2 linked regions of the Canis lupus familiaris genome follow. The protein of the gene in region 1 binds, or shares a complex with, the protein of each later gene. Links are inferred from orthologs where the notes say so. Each region holds a gene or a part of one and is shown in the gene's direction. Other genes may lie near its edges.

The links. The genes of interacting proteins can lie anywhere in the genome.
Region 2: RBM15B (region 1) and METTL14 share a complex: the UniProt entries of both Homo sapiens proteins name them as parts of the WMM complex. The link is inferred for Canis lupus familiaris from reciprocal best matches to the Homo sapiens genes RBM15B and METTL14.

What each region holds. Positions count from the first base shown.
Region 1 is NC_049241.1:38,597,438-38,601,681, reverse strand, and holds the start of RBM15B (putative RNA-binding protein 15B), read left to right. Parts: upstream 1-1,364; coding exon 1,365-4,067; 3' UTR 4,068-4,244. UniProt on the Homo sapiens protein: RNA-binding protein that acts as a key regulator of N6-methyladenosine (m6A) methylation of RNAs, thereby regulating different processes, such as alternative splicing of mRNAs and X chromosome inactivation mediated by Xist RNA.
Region 2 is NC_049253.1:2,174,420-2,178,067, reverse strand, and holds part of METTL14 (N6-adenosine-methyltransferase non-catalytic subunit), read left to right. Parts: intron 1-1,235; coding exon 1,236-1,324; intron 1,325-2,195; coding exon 2,196-2,283; intron 2,284-3,648. UniProt on the Homo sapiens protein: The METTL3-METTL14 heterodimer forms a N6-methyltransferase complex that methylates adenosine residues at the N(6) position of some mRNAs and regulates the circadian clock, differentiation of embryonic stem cells and cortical neurogenesis.

The sequences.
Region 1 (4,244 bases):
AGCGCAGTGTGTCCTGAGCCCCTTATAGGTGCTGGGAAAATCCACGGCTGGCGATAGAAATCTTAGGAAGTAGATGGCCATGGCCTACAGGCCACACTGAACACAGGAACAGAAAAACAACCCAACCACTCCCACTCTAGGGCTGACCCCCACGGTTATCTACAAAGGGTTAACTCATTCCTGCTGGAAGGGGAGTTAAGATCAGACAATGTTACAGATGTTTCTTTTAAGAGCTTTCCCCTTGCACTTGCCTCAGCTGCTCCAGGAGCTGCTTTATGTATGGTCATGGGAGGAGGAGGAGGAGGAACTGGCAGCCTCTTCCCCGCCCCCACGGTTTCCGTGCAGAAGGGTCAGGTTCTGCGATGCTTCCAGCAGCTCTCGGGAATAAAACCATCCCAAGGCCGCTTGGGCACCCAGGCAGGATTCTTTCCGCCTCCCCCGCACCTCACCTCTGGAGAAGAGGTCCTGGCCCTCGAAGTGGATAGAAGGGCACTGGTCAGCCTCAAGAGGTAAGCGTAGCAAGCTGTGCTAACGACTGGGTTTGGCCTTCTCTTCGCCCTTGGCTCCGTGGCCCTGCCCTCAGCCCACTGCTCGGAGGGCCGCAGCCTAGTGGCGCCAATTCGCACTCGGTAAACGGCGGGTTTGCTGGCGCGGGTTTCTCCGCCTCAACCCTGCTGAGCCTCGCCTTTTGCATGGACAGCCCTTGGTCATCGCGGCCTTTCCAGGGACCGCAGCAGGTGATACCTGAATGCGGAGGATCCCTGCTTTGTGGGGCGTGGGCGCTGGACAGGGCTGAGGGAGCGGCGTGCTTAGATCCTCTTCACCGTCGACCCCGGACCAGTCGGGGGATGCTACGTAAAGAGGCCGCTGGTCAAGAGTCGGGAGCCCGGCGCCCACAGGCACTGCCACTCCTGTTCCACGCAGCGCGGGCCCCCGCGCCGGAAGCGGGAAGCCTAGGGCCGGCAGGAGCGAACCAGGCCCGCTCTCGCGATGGCCCCCATCTCCGCGCAGCCCGGCCCCAAGGCCGCGCGGTGGCGCCAGAGCTCAATGCCGGGCCGCGATCGCCCGCCGGCCTCCCGGCCCCTGCCCCGCCCCCGGGGGTCACGTGATGGGGGCGGCGCAGTCCGATGACGCACACCCGGCGTAGCTCTCGCCCCGCCCGCCGCGGGGTCACGTGACAGTCCGGCGCTGCCTGATAACGCGACGCCCAGCCCCTGGGCGCCGCTCCCGCCCCGCCCCGCCGCCACCGCCGCGCCGAGTCCTTTTGTCCAAGATGGCGGCGCCGGGGGCGCTGCCTCCTCGGCCGCCGCCGCCGCCGCTGTGAGGGGCCTGCGGGCCGCCCGCCCGCCCGCCGCGCCGGCGCCATGAAGAGGCAGAGCGAGCGAGACTCGAGCCCGAGCGGGCGCGGCTCGTCATCGTCGGCCAAGCGGCCGCGGGAGCGCGAACGGGAGGCGGAGGCGGGCGGGCGGCGGGCGGCGCACAAGGCCTCGGGCGGCGCCAAGCATCCCGTTCCAACGCGGGCCCGCGACAAACCCCGCGGTAGCGGGGGCGGCGGGGGTGGGCATCGCGACGGCCGCGGCGCCGGGGACGCGAATCACCGTGCGAGCAGCGGCCGCTCCTCGGGCTCGGGCGCTGGCGGCGGGGGACGCGGTGGCAAGGCCTCCGGGGACCCAGGCGCTTCAGGTGCATCACCTCGCGCGTCTCCGCTGCCGCCACCTCCGCCACCGCCCGGGGCCGAGCCCGCGGGGCCCGGCTCATCGGCGGCCGCACCCGAGTACAAGACGCTGCTCATCAGCAGCCTGAGCCCCGCGCTGCCCGCCGAGCACCTCGAGGACCGACTCTTCCACCAGTTCAAGCGCTTTGGCGAGATCAGCCTGCGCCTGTCGCACACGCCAGAGCTGGGCCGCGTGGCCTACGTGAACTTCCGGCACCCGCAGGACGCACGCGAGGCCCGCCAGCACGCCCTGGCCCGCCAGCTGCTGCTCTACGACCGGCCGCTCAAGGTGGAGCCGGTGTACCTGCGTGGCGGCGGCGGCGGCGGCGGCGGCGGCGGCGGCGGCGGCGGCGGGAGCAGCCGGCGAAGCAGCAGCAGCAGTGCTGCCGCCTCCACGCCGCCCCCAGGGCCGCCCGCGCCCGCCGACCCGCTCGGTTACCTGCCGCTGCACGGCGGCTACCAGTACAAGCAGCGCTCTCTGTCCCCAGTGGCCGCCCCTCCGCTACGGGAGCCCCGCGCCCGCCACGCCGCGGCGGCCTTTGCCCTGGATGCTGCCGCCGCCGCCGCAGTAGGACTGTCCCGGGAGCGGGCCCTGGACTACTACGGTCTGTACGACGACCGCGGGCGCCCATACGGCTACCCCGCCGTGTGCGAGGAGGACCTGATGCCTGAGGACGACCAGCGGGCCACGCGCAACCTCTTCATCGGGAACCTGGACCACAGCGTGTCCGAGGTGGAGTTGCGGCGGGCCTTTGAGAAGTACGGCATCATTGAGGAGGTGGTCATCAAGAGACCTGCCCGTGGCCAGGGTGGTGCGTATGCCTTCCTCAAGTTCCAGAATCTAGACATGGCCCACAGGGCCAAGGTGGCCATGTCGGGCCGGGTGATTGGCCGAAACCCCATTAAGATAGGCTATGGCAAGGCCAACCCCACCACTCGCCTCTGGGTGGGCGGCCTGGGACCTAACACCTCACTGGCCGCTCTGGCCCGGGAGTTTGACCGCTTCGGGAGCATTCGGACCATTGATCACGTCAAGGGAGATAGTTTTGCTTACATCCAGTATGAGAGCTTGGATGCAGCTCAGGCCGCCTGCGCAAAAATGAGGGGCTTTCCCTTGGGTGGTCCAGACCGAAGGCTGCGTGTGGATTTTGCCAAAGCAGAGGAGACCCGGTATCCCCAGCAGTACCAGCCCTCACCCCTCCCTGTGCATTATGAGCTGCTCCCAGATGGATATACCCGGCATCGAAGCCTGGATGCAGACCTCCGGGTGCGGGATAGGACCCCCCCACACCTCCTGTACTCAGACCGGGACCGGACCTTTTTGGAAGGGGACTGGACCAGCCCTAGTAAAAGCTCTGACCGCCGAAACAGCCTGGAGGGCTACAGCCGCTCAGTGCGCAGCCGGAGTGGGGAGCGCTGGGGAGATGGGGACCGGGGCCTGCCCAAGCCCTGGGAGGAGAGGCGGAAGCGGAGGAGCCTCTCCAGTGACCGCGGGAGGACAACCCACTCCCCTTACGAGGAGAGGAGCAGGACCAAGGGTGGTGGGCCACAGGTGGACCGGGGCTCTGACCGCACTCCTGAGCGCAGCCGTAAGGAGAATCACTCCAGTGATGGGACCAAGGAGTCGAGCAGCAACTCCCTCAGCAACAGCAGACACGGGGCTGAGGAGCGGAGCCACCACCACCACCACGAGGCTCCAGACTCTTCCCATGGGAAGAAGACCCGAGAGAGCGAGCGCAATCATCGGACCGCTGAGGCTGAACCCAAGCCTCTGGAAGAGCCAAAACACGAGACCAAAAAGCTCAAGAATCTTTCCGAGTATGCCCAGACACTGCAGCTGGGTTGGAATGGGCTCCTAGTGTTGAAAAACAGCTGCTTCCCAACATCTATGCACATCCTAGAGGGGGACCAAGGGGTTATCACGGGCCTCCTCAAAGACCACACTTCCGGGAGCAAGCTGACCCAGCTGAAGATTGCCCAGCGTCTGCGGCTGGACCAGCCCAAGCTCGATGAGGTCACGCGGCGCATCAAGCAGGGGAGCCCCAATGGCTATGCGGTGCTCCTAGCCACCCAGGCGACCCCCAGCGGGCCTGGCACTGAGGGGATGCCCACGGTGGAGCCAGGCCTACAGAGGCGGCTTCTCAGGAACCTGGTCTCCTACTTGAAACAGAAGCAGGCCGCAGGGGTGATCAGCCTGCCGGTGGGTGGGTCCAAGGGCAGAGACAGCACAGGCATGCTCTACGCCTTCCCGCCCTGCGACTTTTCACAGCAGTACCTCCAGTCAGCACTGAGGACATTGGGCAAGCTAGAGGAGGAACACATGGTGATAGTTATAGTAAGAGACACTGCCTAGCCCAGACCTGGCTCCAGCTCCGCGTTTGTGTCACAAAAGCAGTTCTTTTAAAATCCGACCACCACCCTTCCCCACATCCTACCCCTTGGTTTGAATTCTCTGCTGGGTTATTTTGGTTCATTTGATGGGGGAACCAGAGTCCTGACCCCCACCAAAACTAAGTTCTTAAATTTGGGG
Region 2 (3,648 bases), on another chromosome or scaffold:
AGGGGAGTTGTGAAGGTAGGCAGACTAAAAAGGTAGTGGTAATTGTTTAAGATCAAGGCTAACAAGACCACTTGCAGCTCTGATATTTTAGTATATTCCCTTTCTTGAGCTAAAGGAACTAATTAATCCAAATTTCCTCATGCCCTTCTTGTACTTAAAAAATATCAAATGGTTCTTCATGGCCTATAAATTGCATTCTACACTTGTTTGTTTGGCTTTTAAAGATTTCCGTGAACTGATCCCACTCTCTGTAGCCAGTTTATCTCAACTAGTTATTTGTTCTGTTTTGCAAAATTTCTCCAACTGCTAAACAGAATTTGCATTACCACTTTTTAGGAATTATTAAAGTTCAGTATTGTGCCTATAGATCATTGTATAAAGACTTGAATAGGGATCCCTGGGTGGCACAGCGGTTTGGTGCCTGCCTTTGGCCCAGGGCGCAATCCTGGAGACCTGGGATCGAGTCCCATGTTGGGGTCCCAGTGCATGGAGCCTGCTTCTCCCTCTGCCTGCATCTCTGCCTCTCTCTCTCTCTCTCTCTCTCTCTCTCTCTCTCTGTGTGTGACTATCATAAATAAATAAAAATTAAAAAAAAAAAGACTTGAATAAAACTGGATATTTATTATAGCACAGGATAAAGTGTAATATGTGAATTGACAGATGCAAAGTGTTAGTGCCTATACGTTAGCCGCTTTTTTTGTTATTGCTACTATTACTAAATTGTGTTTTATTATTTACTTAAAAAGTAGAAGATTGGCTAAAATTGTCTTAATTTCAAATATAACTGAAAGTATAATATGCTCACTAGCTCTCCAATTTATTCCTAATTAACATGGTTTTGTTCCAAGGTATTTCCTATTATTCCTGCAAATTAACTAATCTATTTGCCTGCTGAGGTTGTTAAGATTTTTTGTTTTGTTTTGTTTTTTTTAAGGATTTTATTTATTTATCTGAGAGAGTGCACACGCGCAGTCACAGGCACATACAAGGGGGGCTGGGCAGGGGTGGGGGGTGGAGAGAAGCTGACTCCCTGCTGAGCAGGGAACTGCAATGTGGGGCTCCATCCCTGGACCCTGGGATCATGACCTGAGCCAAAGGCAGACATTTAACTGACTGAGCCACCCAGGTGCTCCTTGTTTTGTTTTTTAATATCTGATATATTAAATGTTACTACATAAGCTGGGAAGGCTATCCAGTGCATTATGATCTAATTTTTGGTTTTTGTCTTTTCTCAGTTGGGAGCCGAAAGTGCGGACAGCATTGGTGCTGTGTTAAATAGCAAAGATGAGCAGAGAGAAATTGCTGAAACAAGAGAAACTTGCAGGTAGTTGAATTTTTTTCTTTTTTTTTTTTTTAGTGACGTGAATATTGTGAATGTTTTTTGTTTTTTTTTTTAAGATTTTATTTGAGGCAAAGAGAAAGAGGGAGGGCGGACATGAGCAGGGGGAGGGGCAGAGGAAAGGGACAAGCAGATTCCCTGCTGAGCAGGGAGCCCAAAGCTGAGCTTGATCTCCAAGACTCCAGATCATGACCTGAGCTGAAGGCAGGCGCTTAACTGACTGAGCCACCCAGGTGCCCTGGGTTATTGTTTTGATAAACATAATCCTAGGTATGAAGTGTGTTGTTAATGACAGGCATCAAAATAAAAGATTTCAGAAATACTGGTTTTTAGTATTCATGAATTATGAATACTTATTTTCTGAATGTAATAAGTTCTTATTCATAAAGTAGTTAGAAAATGGAATGTTAGACTAAGGATAGCTTATATACCATAAATAAACAATTATATTTACAAATTCTTATAAGAAAAAACAGGCTTTACCCTAAAAGCAGTTTTCATTGGTAGTTCAGAAAGCACTTCAGAATTTTTCAGTATTCTGGTTATTAATTTGAATATCAATTTTTCTTAAGACAAATTAGAATGGTAACATAATATAGAAGTTTCTTTTTGCCATATATCCATTACATGAACTTAAGTTTCTGATTTGGTTGCTTTCTCATAATAATAAAATACAGAATTACCAATCAGGATGTATGACTTTTTTGATTTATAAACTGAATGAATAGATAGATACCGTTTAATCAGAAAAAAGTGCCTTGTTCTGTTTTTATAAACTGTCATTTAATATTATTAATAGCTACCATTTATACATCTTTCTATATCTGTGTGTGATACTCCAGTTTTAATTTTTCAGGGCTTCCTATGATACCTCTGCTCCAAATGCAAAACGTAAGTATCAGGATGAAGGAGAAACCGATGAAGACAAAATGGAAGAATATAAGGCAAGTAGAGAACAAAGCAATTTTATGATCAAGAAAAAAATAAATCCCTACAATAATGGATTCTTATCCAGGAAAATAAATATAGTGAAAAGCTCAATTTTAAACTTTCTAAAAGAATTGTTAGTAGCATATGTATACAGGTATACCTCGGAGATACTGCAGGTTTGGTACCAGACCACCACAATGAAGTGAATGTTGCAATAAAACCAAGTCAAATGAAAGTTTTGGTCTCCCAGTGCATATAAAAGTTATGTCTGTGCAATCTTACAGTCTTTTAATTGTACAACAGCATTAATGTCTGATTAAACAAAGTGTATACCTTAATTTAAAAATACTTTATTGCTAAAAAATGCTATCCATTATTTGAGCTTTATACCAAGTTTTAATCTTTTTTTTTTTCTGGTGGAGGGCCTTGCTTGCCTCACTGTTGCTGCTTTACCTTAAGCTTTTATGTTATGGAGATGTCTTCTTTCCTTAAACCTCAGAACCGACTTTTATTTACTTCAGACTTTTCTTATGCAGTGTCCTTAACTCTCTCAGCCTTCATAGAATGGAAGAGAGTTAGGGCCTTGCTCTAAATTAGGCTTTGCCTGAAAGGAATGTTGTGGCTAGTTTGATCTTCTGTTCAGACCAGTAAGCTTTTTCTATATTGGAAATAAGGCTGTTTCACTTTTTTTGTATCTGTGTGTTTACTGAGGTAGCATTTTTTTCTTATCATCTGTGTGTTTACTGAAGTAGCATTTTTTTTTTCCTTCAAGAACTTTTCCTTTGTATTCACAAGTTAGCTGTTTGGCATAAGAGCCCCAGGTTTTGGCCTATCTTGAATTCCACATGCTTTCCTCATTAAGCTTAAGTTTTAACTTTTGATTTTAAGTGGGAAATGTACAATTCTTCCTTTTACTTGAATACTTAGAAGACGTTATAGGGTTATTAATTTCAATATGAAGTCTCAGGGAGGCCCAAGGAGAGGGAGAGAGACACAGGAACCACCAGTTGGTGAAACAATGAAAACACATTTATGGATTAAGTTCACTATCTTGTATGCACATGGTTCATGGTGCCCCAAAACAATTAAAATGGTAACATCAGAGATCACTGATCATAGATCACCATAACAGATATGGTAATGAAGAAGTTATAAATTTTGCAAGAATTACCAAAATGTGACACAGAGACATGAAGTGAACAGATGCCATCAGAAAAATGGTGCCAGTAGACTTGCTGGCAGGGTTGCCACAAACCTTTAATTTGTAAAACATGCAATATCTTCAGAGTGCAATAAATTCAAGCACAATCAAATGAAGTAATTCGGTAATCGGTTCAATTAAGATCTTTATTTCAGTTTCCTCATTTTAATATAAGAGG